Linked DNA regions of Callithrix jacchus. The protein of the gene in region 1 interacts with the protein of each later gene in a biochemical or structural test. Links are inferred from orthologs where the notes say so. Each region holds a gene or a part of one and is shown in the gene's direction. Other genes may lie near its edges.

The links.
Region 2: the proteins of NHERF1 (region 1) and ABCC2 form a complex in vitro, tested with the Homo sapiens proteins (2 studies listed by BioGRID). The link is inferred for Callithrix jacchus from reciprocal best matches to the Homo sapiens genes NHERF1 and ABCC2.
Region 3: the proteins of NHERF1 (region 1) and PDGFRB form a complex in vitro, tested with the Homo sapiens proteins (2 studies listed by BioGRID and IntAct, with this or other methods). The link is inferred for Callithrix jacchus from reciprocal best matches to the Homo sapiens genes NHERF1 and PDGFRB.

Annotation. Positions count from the first base shown.
Region 1 is NC_133506.1:130,683,449-130,687,741, forward strand, and holds the start of NHERF1 (Na(+)/H(+) exchange regulatory cofactor NHE-RF1), read left to right. Parts: upstream 1-1,454; 5' UTR 1,455-1,668; coding exon 1,669-2,109; intron 2,110-4,293. UniProt on the Homo sapiens protein: Scaffold protein that connects plasma membrane proteins with members of the ezrin/moesin/radixin family and thereby helps to link them to the actin cytoskeleton and to regulate their surface expression. Necessary for recycling of internalized ADRB2.
Region 2 is NC_133513.1:92,776,520-92,780,163, forward strand, and holds part of ABCC2 (ATP-binding cassette sub-family C member 2), read left to right. Parts: intron 1-740; coding exon 741-867; intron 868-2,515; coding exon 2,516-2,617; intron 2,618-3,043; coding exon 3,044-3,187; intron 3,188-3,644. UniProt on the Homo sapiens protein: ATP-dependent transporter of the ATP-binding cassette (ABC) family that binds and hydrolyzes ATP to enable active transport of various substrates including many drugs, toxicants and endogenous compound across cell membranes.
Region 3 is NC_133503.1:48,845,497-48,849,140, reverse strand, and holds part of PDGFRB (platelet-derived growth factor receptor beta), read left to right. Parts: coding exon 1-177; intron 178-630; coding exon 631-897; intron 898-1,638; coding exon 1,639-1,766; intron 1,767-1,884; coding exon 1,885-2,059; intron 2,060-2,628; coding exon 2,629-2,821; intron 2,822-3,468; coding exon 3,469-3,584; intron 3,585-3,644. UniProt on the Homo sapiens protein: Tyrosine-protein kinase that acts as a cell-surface receptor for homodimeric PDGFB and PDGFD and for heterodimers formed by PDGFA and PDGFB, and plays an essential role in the regulation of embryonic development, cell proliferation, survival, differentiation, chemotaxis and migration.

The DNA of each region.
Region 1 (4,293 bases):
TCTTCTGGGGCCCAAGGCAGGTTGCAGGAGATCCAATCACTTAGAGAGCTCTGGGCCTCTTGCATTTGAGTTTTTCAGAATTAAATTGCAGTATTTTGGAAAGCACATCCTGTCCACTGTTTCTTTGAAGTGTGTGTGGGAGGGGTGTCCTGTTGACGGAATTGTCATTCACTGCCAAAATCATTCCATCCTCCTCTCAGTGTCTCTCCTGAGGGTCAGTTCCCCCCTTAACAGACTCCCTACCTCTGTGACCAGCCTCTCTTTGGCAAGAGGGAGCTAAAGGCTTATCTTACAGTCCTAATCATTTTTCTTTCTCTGTTGGAAAAAAAAAAAAAAAAACCAAGGCTCTGTTCCCTGTGGAGTGTACCCAGAGGCTGATTATCTGAGTCTGTTCTGCCTCTCCCCATCCCACCTCCCTAGCCAAACGCTGACACCAAAGCCCATGCCATTGCCCTAGGTGTCCTGTCTTCAGTGAGTTGCCCCTCGAGGTCCCAGGCTCTCCACCGAGCCCGCACCTCTGCACCTTCCCAAGCAGGAATCAGAACCTGCACTCCTCTATGCGAGGAGTGCCAAGTGTCAGGCAGCGCTGCCTGACAGTGCAAAGTGGGTTAGCGTTAGGGTTCCCACAAACGGAAAAATGTTATTCAAACAACTCTATAGGGTCCGAGGAGGCTCTCAGTCTTAATTCTCAAGACTGCCTGGCCCTCGCTGCCCCGCGGGAGCCGTTGCCCCGGCAACAGCCGGTCCCCCTTAAGCAGAGCTGCACCCATGCTTTGGCTAAAGGCTGTTAAAACGTTGGCCAGTGCAGTGGTTCACACCGGTAATCCCAGCACTTTGGGAGGCCGAGGTGGGTGGATCACCTGAGGTGAGGAGTTTGAAACCAGCCTGGCCAACACGGCGAAACCCCGTCTCTACTAAATCTACAAAAAAATAGCCGGGCGTGGTGGCGGGCGCCTGTAATCCCAGCTACTCGGGAGGCTGAGGCAGGAGAATCGCTTGAATCCAGGAGGCGGAGGCTGCAGTGAGCCGAGATCGCGCCACTGCACTCCAGCCTGGAGACAGAGCAAGACTCCGTCTCAAAATAAATAAATAAATAAGAAAAAAAGAGTCCCTTTACCAGAGGGCCTCTCCTCACTCTCCGCCACAGGCAGGGGAAACCAGGCCGGAGCCGGTGGGCCCCACCACCCAGAACCGAGAACTGAGCGGGCCCCGCCCCTGCCACCCCAGCGCCGGCAGCTCGGCAACAAACACTTCCACTTCCTGAGCGCTCTGTCTTCGCCCGCCACTGGGCTCCGCGCCGAGGACAGGCCCCGCCCCACGCGTTTCCATTGGCCGGCGCCGTTCACCCGGCAGCAGCGCCCCGGCCCGCGGCCTCCGATTGGCTCGCGGAGTCCCACACCCTCTGCGTGGCCCCGCCCCCGGGGTAAGGAGCCTGGGCGGGCTCTGGAAAGCTCAGACGCCGAGCGAGGCGGGGATTGGTCCGCGCTCCTTTCTTTACTCCTCAAGGCTCGCGGCGGCCGGCGGTTCCCGGGACACCTGCTCGCTTCGCCGGTCCCGCGGCGCTGGGCTTCCCTGCTGCGTTCCCGGTTCTCTGGGCGGGAAGAAGGATTGAGCCGTCCCGTCTCCAACGGAACCCCGAGTGGCGCAGCTGAGTCGTCGCAGGGCGAGATGAGCGCGGACGCGGCGGCCGGGGCGCCCCTGCCCCGGCTCTGCTGCCTGGAAAAGGGTCCGAACGGCTACGGCTTCCACCTGCACGGCGAGAAGGGCAAGGTGGGCCAGTACATCCGGCTGGTGGAGCCCGGCTCGCCGGCGGAGAAGGCAGGGCTGCTGGCCGGGGACCGGCTGGTGGAGGTGAACGGCGAGAACGTGGAGAAGGAGACCCACCAGCAGGTGGTGAGCCGCATCCGCGCCGCGCTCAACGCCGTGCGCCTGCTGGTGGTCGACCCCGAGACGGACGAGCAGCTGCAGAAGCTCGGCGTCCAGGTCCGCGAGGAGCTGCTGCGCACCCAGGAAGCGCCGGGCAAGGCCGAGTCGCCAGCCGCCGCCGAGGCGCAGGGGGCTGGCAACGAAAATGAGCCTAGCGAGGCCGACAAGAGCCACCCGGAGCAGGTAAGCCGGGCCGGGGCGGCGCCGGCTGGAATGAGGTGGGAGGGGGATCGGGAGGGACCCAGGCGCCACGGCCGTCCAGCCCCGCGCCCGCCGTTGTCTTTCTGAAAACTCTAACTGCGAGGGGGAGACGGCTTCCGCCCGCCGACCAGGCTCCCTGGTAGATCCTAGGCAGGCCTGGGGCTGCGTCCCGCGACCTCTCTCCTTCCCTGGCTGTGCTGGGAGCCTGAGCGCCTTTGCCACCTGCACCTCTTGTTCCCTGGCCCTTGAGAGGGCAGCGCAGGGGAACCCAGTCCCCCTTCCCTCAGGTCTGTGTCTGCTCGTAATCCACCAATCCTGCCCCTCCCTGGCGCCCTCTCATCGTTCACCCCAGTCCGCAGATGGGCTCGGGAGGAAGGACTCTCCGCCCCAGAGGTGCCAGCTTCATCCACCACCCCTACTTCAAAAGCTAGAGGAATAGCCCTTCCTCCTCCTGTGCGGAGCCCCGGCGCGAGGTGGCCCTCCCTCAGCCCGCCGGTGTGTGCAATCAGCTTCAGCCCTGCTGGACTTCATCCTCCCGGAGTGCGGTGTAACTTCCAAGGGAGAGAAAGCCCCGCCATCTCAGGGCGGTGTGGGGGTGCTTGGCGGGAGGAGGAGTCAAGGCATCTCTGAGTGGTGGTTCTGCCACCCAGGAGGATTTACGACTCAGGAATGTGAGGAGTAAGCGCCTGTATCAGGGAGGGGAGGGGGAAGACCTTGGAAGGAGGGGAAGATGGCTGGGGGGAGGGGAGAGAGCTCTTGAGGCAAGTGGCGAGCCGGTGGTCTTGCCCTGGCCTTGCCACGCTCACTCGTGCCCACAGAGCCAGCAGGCCGGTTGCTTTTTGCCCATGTTTGGTGTTTGCCCATGGGATCCTGGTTTGGATCAGCTGCAGGAGGGGCAGCTGGCAAAACAGGAGTTGTGCTGAGTCTCCTGTCCCCAGAGAGTGGAGTGAGGAAGCTTCGGGTGCACACTGCGAAGGGCAGGGCCTGAGCCTCCCAGGGCCCCTTCAGCTTGCACCAGCTCTCCCTGGTGGCAGTGTGTGGTGGGAGTGTCCGTGGGGCCAGGAGGATCCTCCGTGGACAGAGAGACCACACAGTTCAGCATTAAGGTGGAAGGCAAAGCCCTAGGTAGGGGATCAACTGGTTAGGTGGAAGTGAGGTCACCAGAGACCTGTCCGGCCAGAGCTGGGTGCTGGGAATGCCAGGGCCACCAGGCTCCCACTTCCTGCCCCTGCCAAGCTGGCATTGGCAAGGGGTGGGGGAAGGGATCGGAGCACCCAGAGCAAGGGGTTGACACCAGAGGTTGGGGCCAATGATCTTTAATCCCAGGCAGAAATCCAGTGTGAACTTTGTGCTGAGTCCATCGATCGATTTGACCCTTTTTTTTTTTTTTTTTTGGACTTTGGCACTCACGGATACCCCCACCCTACTGCAAGTTGCAGTCTCATTCAGCTCCTCCCTTTGCCCTTTTGGTTACGCTGCTGGGTGCCAGAGGGCCTGGGAGGCTCCTGTGGAGGCTTGGCGTAGCACACACACTCAAAAGCCGTGGCTTTGAGCTTCCTGGGTGAGCACAGAATTTGATTCTTGCAGGTTTTAGAGGGACACCTACATTTGTGTGTACTTCCTTAGACCAGGAGATGAGAGGAGAGCCACCAGCAAACCCTGGGGACACTATCACCAGCCAAGTCCCAGGATTTCTGAGCTCTGGTTCTCCCGTCTGTGAGGTGGAGGCATTGGATGATGTTATGCCTGCCTTCTCTAGAACTTTAGAAATGATGTGAAGTACTCAAGCCCCTTACTCAATACTGAGCTGCACTGCGTCATGCCCAGGCGTTTGAATCCCAGCTGCTTCAAACTGACTCACAGTCAGCACCACTGAGTCCCTCTAGCAGAAAATCCCACACCGTTCTGTGTGAAGCTTGCGGATGGCCCATGCGGTTATTGCAAGAAATGTTAACAAACATTGTAAGAGCTATTTTTTCTAAAACGCATCCCTTTCCTATATAAAGCATCAAATTGAGGTTTGCCAGTTTGTTTTCATTTGAATTTGTGTGCAAGGTGGGGCTGTTCCCTTATCTTGATCAGCTCTTAAGTGAGTATCTCAGTGGAAAAGTGTGGCACAGAGAGTGGTTGGCTGGGTGGCCTCTTGGGAAGACCAGCTGTGTCCAG
Region 2 (3,644 bases), on another chromosome or scaffold:
CACTTGGAGCTTTCATTCAAAATGCAGATTCTTGGCCAGGAGTAGTGGCTCACACCTGTAATCCCAGCACTTTGGGAGACTGAGGCAAGCAGGTCATGTGAACCCAGGAGTTCAAGACCAGCCTGGGCAACATGATGAAATCCTGGCTCTCCAAAACACACAGACACACACACACACACACAAATTAGCTGGGTGCGGTGGCATGCACCTATAGTTCCAGCTTCTTGGGAGGTTGAGGTGGGAGGATGGCTTGAGCCGGGAGGTCAAGGCTGCAGTGAATCATAATCATCCCACTGCAGTCTCACCTTAGTGACAGAGCAAGACCCTGTCTCATAAAACAAAAACAAAAACAAAATGCAGATTCTTGAATCCCATCCTAGGCCCCTTGAATCAGAAAAGGGTCCAGGAATTTTCCACGTGAATTTTTAACATTGTATTTTAACAGTTGCCCTTGCTCTAGGTGATTCTTATGATTTGGCGAGTTTGGGAGACATTGCACAATAGAATTCCCTTAATTTAGGAAACTCCTCTAGGATCTTTAAAATGCAATTTGTTTTCTTAAAAAAAAAATCAATAGGCTTTTAGGAATACATGGTGTTTCTAAGACAAATTGAGGCTTCACCTAAGAGTGCAGCCTGATTGAGTCAAACCCTCTGAGAATGTTCTATGAACACCAAGGATGCTGGTTAAGATGAGGAAGTGATTAGTGACACCCACTCTCTGGTTCTGTTGCCCCACAGGTGGCTTGCAATTCGCCTGGAGCTGGTTGGGAACCTGATTGTCTTCTTTTCGGCCTTGATGATGGTTATTTATAGAGATACACTAAATGGGGACACTGTTGGCTTTGTTCTGTCCAATGCACTCAATGTGAGTTTGAAGGTTGGGAGTTTGGTTATGTTAGTGGGCTTATTTTTAAATTAAGCCTGAAGTATACTCTGGAGTCTGTGCTCTTGATTCCCTCTTAACCCCAGAAGGACTAACGGAGACCAACCCTGGCTCCATCTTTCACCCATGGACATGCTCCTTACTCTTCCTAAATAGACATGAGTGCCCTCTAGAAAACTGGACATAAATGTTGACCTTAGGACTTAAGAAGGCAATTTCATGTGTTTCGATCTAATTGTTCCCTGTCTGCCTCTTTGCTTGGTTCTAGTTAAAAGAGAGAATAAATGACTTTCTTCTCTAGAATGTAGCAGTAATCAGAAAGCCTTTTAGAACAAAAAACTCCTCCTGTGTTTATTTTTCTTAGATCACAGAATAATTGGAGGTAATTTTAATAAAGAACATAGAGTCTGATAAACTACAGAATGAGTCTCACTGCAGCAGCCCCAGCGTGACTAGGGGAGACATGGCAGGCACAGTTCTTTTCCAGCACCTAAGACAGTGGCTGGCACTACAGTCACTATTCAATCAATATTTGTTCAATAAATGAGTCATTTGACCATCTTTTTGAACTAATTTTTGGAGATTTGCATAGTTATATGTGGGCTTTATAGAATAGTGCTGTTTTCATTAGAAGTTTATAAGGCTGGTGGGGCGCGGTGGCTCACACCTGTAAACCCAGCACTTTGAGAGGCCAAGGCGGGCGGATCAACTGAAGTCAGGAGTTTGAGACTAGCCTGGACAATATGGTAAAACCCAGTCCCTACTAAAAATACAAAAGATTAGCCAGGTGTGGTGGCAGGCACCTGTAATCCCTGAGGCAGGAGAATCACTTGAACCCAGGAGGCAGAGGTTGCAGTGAGCCAAGGTCATGCCATTGCACTCCAGCCTGGGCCACAGAGCAAGATTCCATCTCAAAAAAAAAGAAGAAGTTAATAAGGTTTAATTCCTGCCAGGGCACCTAAAAGGACTTTGTTAGTCACTAGAGTCATTTCATTCCTTGTGCCACTGCCCTTTCATCCCCCCATTTCTCGGCTTTTTAGCCCAGGACAGACAGGCAAATAAGAATCTATTAGATTGAACCAAAACAAAATGACTCAACCAGCAACTACATATGCTTCAATCTACACAAAGTGGTTATTCTGGGTCCCCATGATTCTATCCTCTGCTGTCTATGGCTCCCTTTCTCTAACCACCATTTTCTCAACAAAAACTCCCTGTGCATACATGCAAACTCCTGAGTCTTTTCCTGAGAGAAGCTTGCATCTGAGTAATCTACAGATTCCCTGGCCGGGATCATGTCTTTCCTTGATTCACAAAGAGCACTAGGCATACAGGCAGGAGGCCTGAGCACCCGTTGCCAGACTCTCCAATTCCAGCTTTAGACCCAAACCACTAGACACTCACATTGCCCTTTGTGTGAGTACCTAATTGTTCTGCAGCCATTCAATGCCCTGCTCTTGATTCCTTCCCCAAGGAGGCAAGGATTGTCTTTCTTACACTTTTCCTTACTCCCTTGTAGAGCCCAGCACAGTGCTGGGTACAAAGTAGGCACTGGATCGTCCTTGTGGTTTGAGTAGTGGAGTTGGTTTCCGTGTCTAAGATGATTTTCAGTCTTCTGGTTTTTCTGTAGATCACACAAACCCTGAACTGGCTAGTGAGGATGACATCAGAAATAGAGACCAACATTGTGGCTGTTGAGCGAATAACTGAGTACACAAAAGTGGAAAATGAGGTAAGGAGGAATTAGAAAAATCCAGGGACAAGGCAAAAAAAAAACCATGCAACTCCTTCAAGAGTGCATCTTTAGAATGTCTCCATATTTCATATGGGCTAGTAATGGGTCCCCTAAAGTTTCCTTTCCTGTAACTCAAAAGACCTTATTTCTTCAAACTTAGAATAGGAAATGGTTTAGGGGAAGTCAGGTCTTAGAACATACTGAGGAGATCTACAACACAAGCTCATGTGATAATTTTTCTTTAACTGAGTAAGGAAGGAATCTTCCAAAGGTACAAGTGCAGTTCAGTCTATGAAATGCAGAGGCCATTAGGTAGCTGGGTCACTGCTACCCTTTTCCTGTTCTGTGACGTGGGGCCTAAGAGAACCGTTCAGCTGAGTTGCCACCTTATAAAGCATACTTCTCACCTTGTCTCCTTGCCAGGCACCCTGGGTGACTGATAAGAGGCCTCCACCAGATTGGCCCAGCAAAGGCAACATCCAGTTTAGCAACTACCAAGTGCGGTACCGACCTGAGCTGGATCTGGTCCTCAAAGGGATCACTTGTGACATCAGTAGCATGGAGAAGGTAGGTAGAGTGGAGGAAGGCCTGGATGGGTGGCCTTGTGATCAGACAATAATTGTATGCAGAGTGGAGAGCAGCTGGGCCCTGAGCCTTCATCATTTGGATGGAGGGAGAGGGTGAGGGCACTTCCTCTGCCCTGGGGAAGTATGGGGACACAGTACCAGAGGGAAGGTTAGCAGTCAGGGATCACACAGACTTACTGCAGCTGCCAGGTCTTCTGCTCAGCTCCTCCTGGCCAGCTGACCAGGGCCCCTTTCCTGTAAGGTCCACAGTATGCAGAGAGGAAGTCAGGAAGGCAACAAGGGAGTGCCAGGCCTGGCAAATGAACTGTTGAGAATAGCAGGGTGAAGGGTTGTCCCTGAAAGAAGAATGGCCTAGTTCTCCTAGGCACCTTCAAAGTCAGGCACCCTCCTTAGGCGCTCTTGTTCTCTGAGGACTTGGGGTCTGATGAGCAAGACAC
Region 3 (3,644 bases), on another chromosome or scaffold:
AACGGATGTCCCAGGAGCCCCCGCAGGAAATGGCCAAGGCCCAGGACGGCAGCTTCTTCAGTGTGCTGACACTGAGCAACCTCACTGGGCTAGACACGGGAGAATACTTCTGCACCTACAATGACTCCCATGGCCTGGAGCTCGATGAGCGGAAACGGCTCTACATCTTTGTGCCAGGTAAGCGCCCCCAGCCTGTGTACCCACTCCTTACCCCTCTTTTCAACTGAAGACATCAGGGGAAGTCCAGAGAGTGCTTTAGTTTGTTGTGAAATACAGCCATCTCCCTGCCAGTCACCCCATTCCTGCCTCCCAAGAACTCTATATTCTCAGCTGCTTCCAATCTGCTCCCTCTTGGCCCCCACATCCCATCTTCTCCATTCTCCAAGCCCTAGATATCAGCCGCACTTCAACTTGTGACTTGTCTCCTTTCTTACCCTGGCACTGTCAATATCCAACATTAGAGCTGGAAGGGACCAGCTCTACCATTTGATTTATGCTCCTCTGGGAGCATCCCTATTCTGTCATGGGGAGACAGAGGGCTAGAGAGGGCAAACGATTTGCCACATAGCAATTCAGGGGATGGCCAGAAACTCGGTTCCCCTGACTCATTCATGGCTCCACTCCCGGCAGATCCCACTGTGGTCTTCCTCCCTAATGATGCCGAGGAACTATTCATCTTTCTCACGGAAATAACTGAGACCACAATTCCGTGCCGAGTGACAGACCCGCAGCTGGTGGTGACACTGCATGAGAAAAAAGGGGACGTTGCACTGCCTGTCCTCTACGATCACCAACGAGGCTTTTCTGGTATCTTCGAGGACAGAAGCTACATCTGCAAAACCACCATTGGGGACAGGGAGGTGGATTCCGACGCCTACTATGTCTACAGACTCCAGGGTGAGCTCCCTTTCTGGCCCGATGCTCAGCAGAGGCAAGTATAACCCTCCACAGAGGAATAGCCCTTTACAGTTTGCAAAGTGTGTGGCTCCATTTCTCATAGGATTCTCACCACAGCCTTGGAAGGGAGATAGTGTTTTCCCCATGTTACAGGTGAGGAAACTCAGGTGCAGAGAGGGTGGAGTTTGCCCCCTGTTGCAGAATACGATAATGGCAGAGCTGGCCTATATAAAATGGTCGGTGAGGTCGCAAGCTTCAGAGCCAGCTGGGTTGAAATCCCAGCTTTACCATTTTCCGTCCTAGTGACTTTACACAAAGCACATAATCTCTCTGAGCCTGCTTCCCCTCTTGTAACGTAAAGATAACAATGACTGCTTACCTCATAGGATCATTGTGAAGTTTAAATAAAATAAAAGCTGGAAAGCACCTGGCACTTGGTATGTGCTCAATACATGTCTCCTGTATGTAGATCTCCAGAGGGTACTTTGATTTCCAGACTATTACCCCTTCTAGAATATCAGCTCCATGAGAACAGAAATTTGGTCCATTTTGTTCACTACTGTAGCCCCAGTATCTAGAACAGTACTTGACATGTAGTGGGTATTCAGTAAATACTTGTCGAATGAATGAATCTTCTACATCAGTCATCCTTTCCCTCTCTAGCCCCCTACCCTATCCCCAAGGTGAAGTGCTAGTGGCTGGTAGTGACTTCCCAGCCCTAAGCCAATCTCTCTCCACCAGTGTCATCCATCAACGTCTCTGTGAACGCTGTGCAGACTGTGGTCCGCCAGGGCGAGAACATCACCCTCATGTGCATCGTGATTGGGAATGAGGTGGTCAACTTTGAGTGGACGTACCCCCGCCAAGAGGTAATGTGGGGCCAGGCAGGATCGGAGGAGGGGCCAGGAAGGGGTGGATGTCTGGCTTGCAGACTGACTCCTCACCGGCCCCTCTTGATTGGGGGGCCTGCCTAACCTGTTCCTGCAGAGCGGGCGGCTGGTGGAGCCGGTGACCGACTTCCTCTTGGATATGCCTTACCACATCCGCTCCATCCTGCACATCCCCAGTGCCGAGTTGGACGACTCGGGGACCTACATCTGCAATGTGACAGAGAGTGTGAATGACCATCAGGATGAAAAGGCCATCAACGTCACTGTGGTTGGTGCGTGCCTTGGGCTCAGCCCAACCCCCAGTCTGAGCTGGACCCAGAGCCTGTCACAGCTCTGGGGGTATAGTCAGCCACACTCCAGTGCGGCCCTAGCTAGCCTCTGTGCCAACCAAAACCCCAAATCCAGGATAAACCCAAACCAAAATGCAGTGTCAGCCCCAAATCCAACCCTATCTCAACCTAGACTTTCTGACTAGCCAGAGCCCCAGCCCCAACCTGATTTCCAAGCCCAGCTGCTGTCCCAGATTCAGGAAGCCCCATCCGCAAATTCAGCCTCGTCACTAGCCCCAGGCTCAGCCACAATGCTGATCCAGAACAGAGAACTATTGGTACAACTCTGGTCCCACCCCAGGAGCCGGCCCCAACATCAACATCAGCCCCAAATTCGGCCCCTTCTCTAGGCCCTGTCCCCATCCCGATTTCAACCTCAGCTCCAGAAACTCCATGGCTGGCTGGCCAGCAAGGTCCCTAGGCCTGAAGCCCTGTCCCCCAGGCTGGCCTCCTTTGGGATTCAGTTGGTGTCCTGCCCCCAGGACCCTGCCCCTGACAGTCGCTCCTTGCAGAGAGTGGCTACGTGCGTCTCCTGGGAGAGCTGGGTGCTCTACAGTTTGCCGAGCTGCACCGAAGCCGGACGCTGCAGGTAGTGTTCGAGGCCTACCCGCCACCCACTGTCCTGTGGTTCAAAGACAACCGCACCCTGGGTGACTCCAGCGCTGGCGAGATCGCCCTGTCCACCCGCAACGTGTCGGAGACCCGGTGAGTAGCCTGCTCTCCCACCCCATTCTTGAAGTTATGTTTCTTTGCAGCCACTAGGCAGCCCTCGGCATGTGGCCACAAACCTAGGCCCAGCTTTCTGAGAGTATATTAGGTGCCAGGCATGGGGGATGCTGCTGCGACCGGAGCTGACTCCCTCCTAGAGTTTCTGGTCTAGTGGAGGAAACAGGCGCCAGTCAGATGATCACCCAGATGTTTAGTTGTCCTTGTGATGGGTGGGGCGAGCCGTAGCAGCCAAGAAGTAAACGGCCAGATGACTGGGGAAGAGGGTGCCAGGCAGGCCACTCATGGCCTGTGGTATCCCTGAGGCTAGAGACTTGCTGGCTGACAGAGACTGAGACAGGTTAGGATGGGGCACTGCCTGGCCTTTCTGAAGGGGAGAGAAACAGGACTTTTCCTTCAACGCCGCCCACCCCCACCCACAGCCCATCTCAACCCTCCCTCTTGGCTAGGGGAACTGCCTATGGGCAAGGATTTAGGATACTGGCTTTGAGTCCTGGCTCTGCTACCAATGTCTAGGTGATCTTGGCAAGCCCTTTCCCTCCCTGGGCCTTGTTGCTGTTTATGCCAGGAGAGTGAGGAGGACCGTAGAGTTCTTCCAGCTCACAGCTGCCTGTCCTGCTCCCCAGGTACGTGTCAGAGCTGACCCTCGTTCGCGTGAAGGTGGCAGAGGCTGGTCACTACACCATGCGGGCCTTCCATGAGGATGCTGAGGTCCAGCTCTCCTTCCAGCTGCAGATCAATGGTGATGAGCACGTCCCTCCCCATGTCCCTCCTCCTTCCCCTCCATGCCTCCATTCCCTCT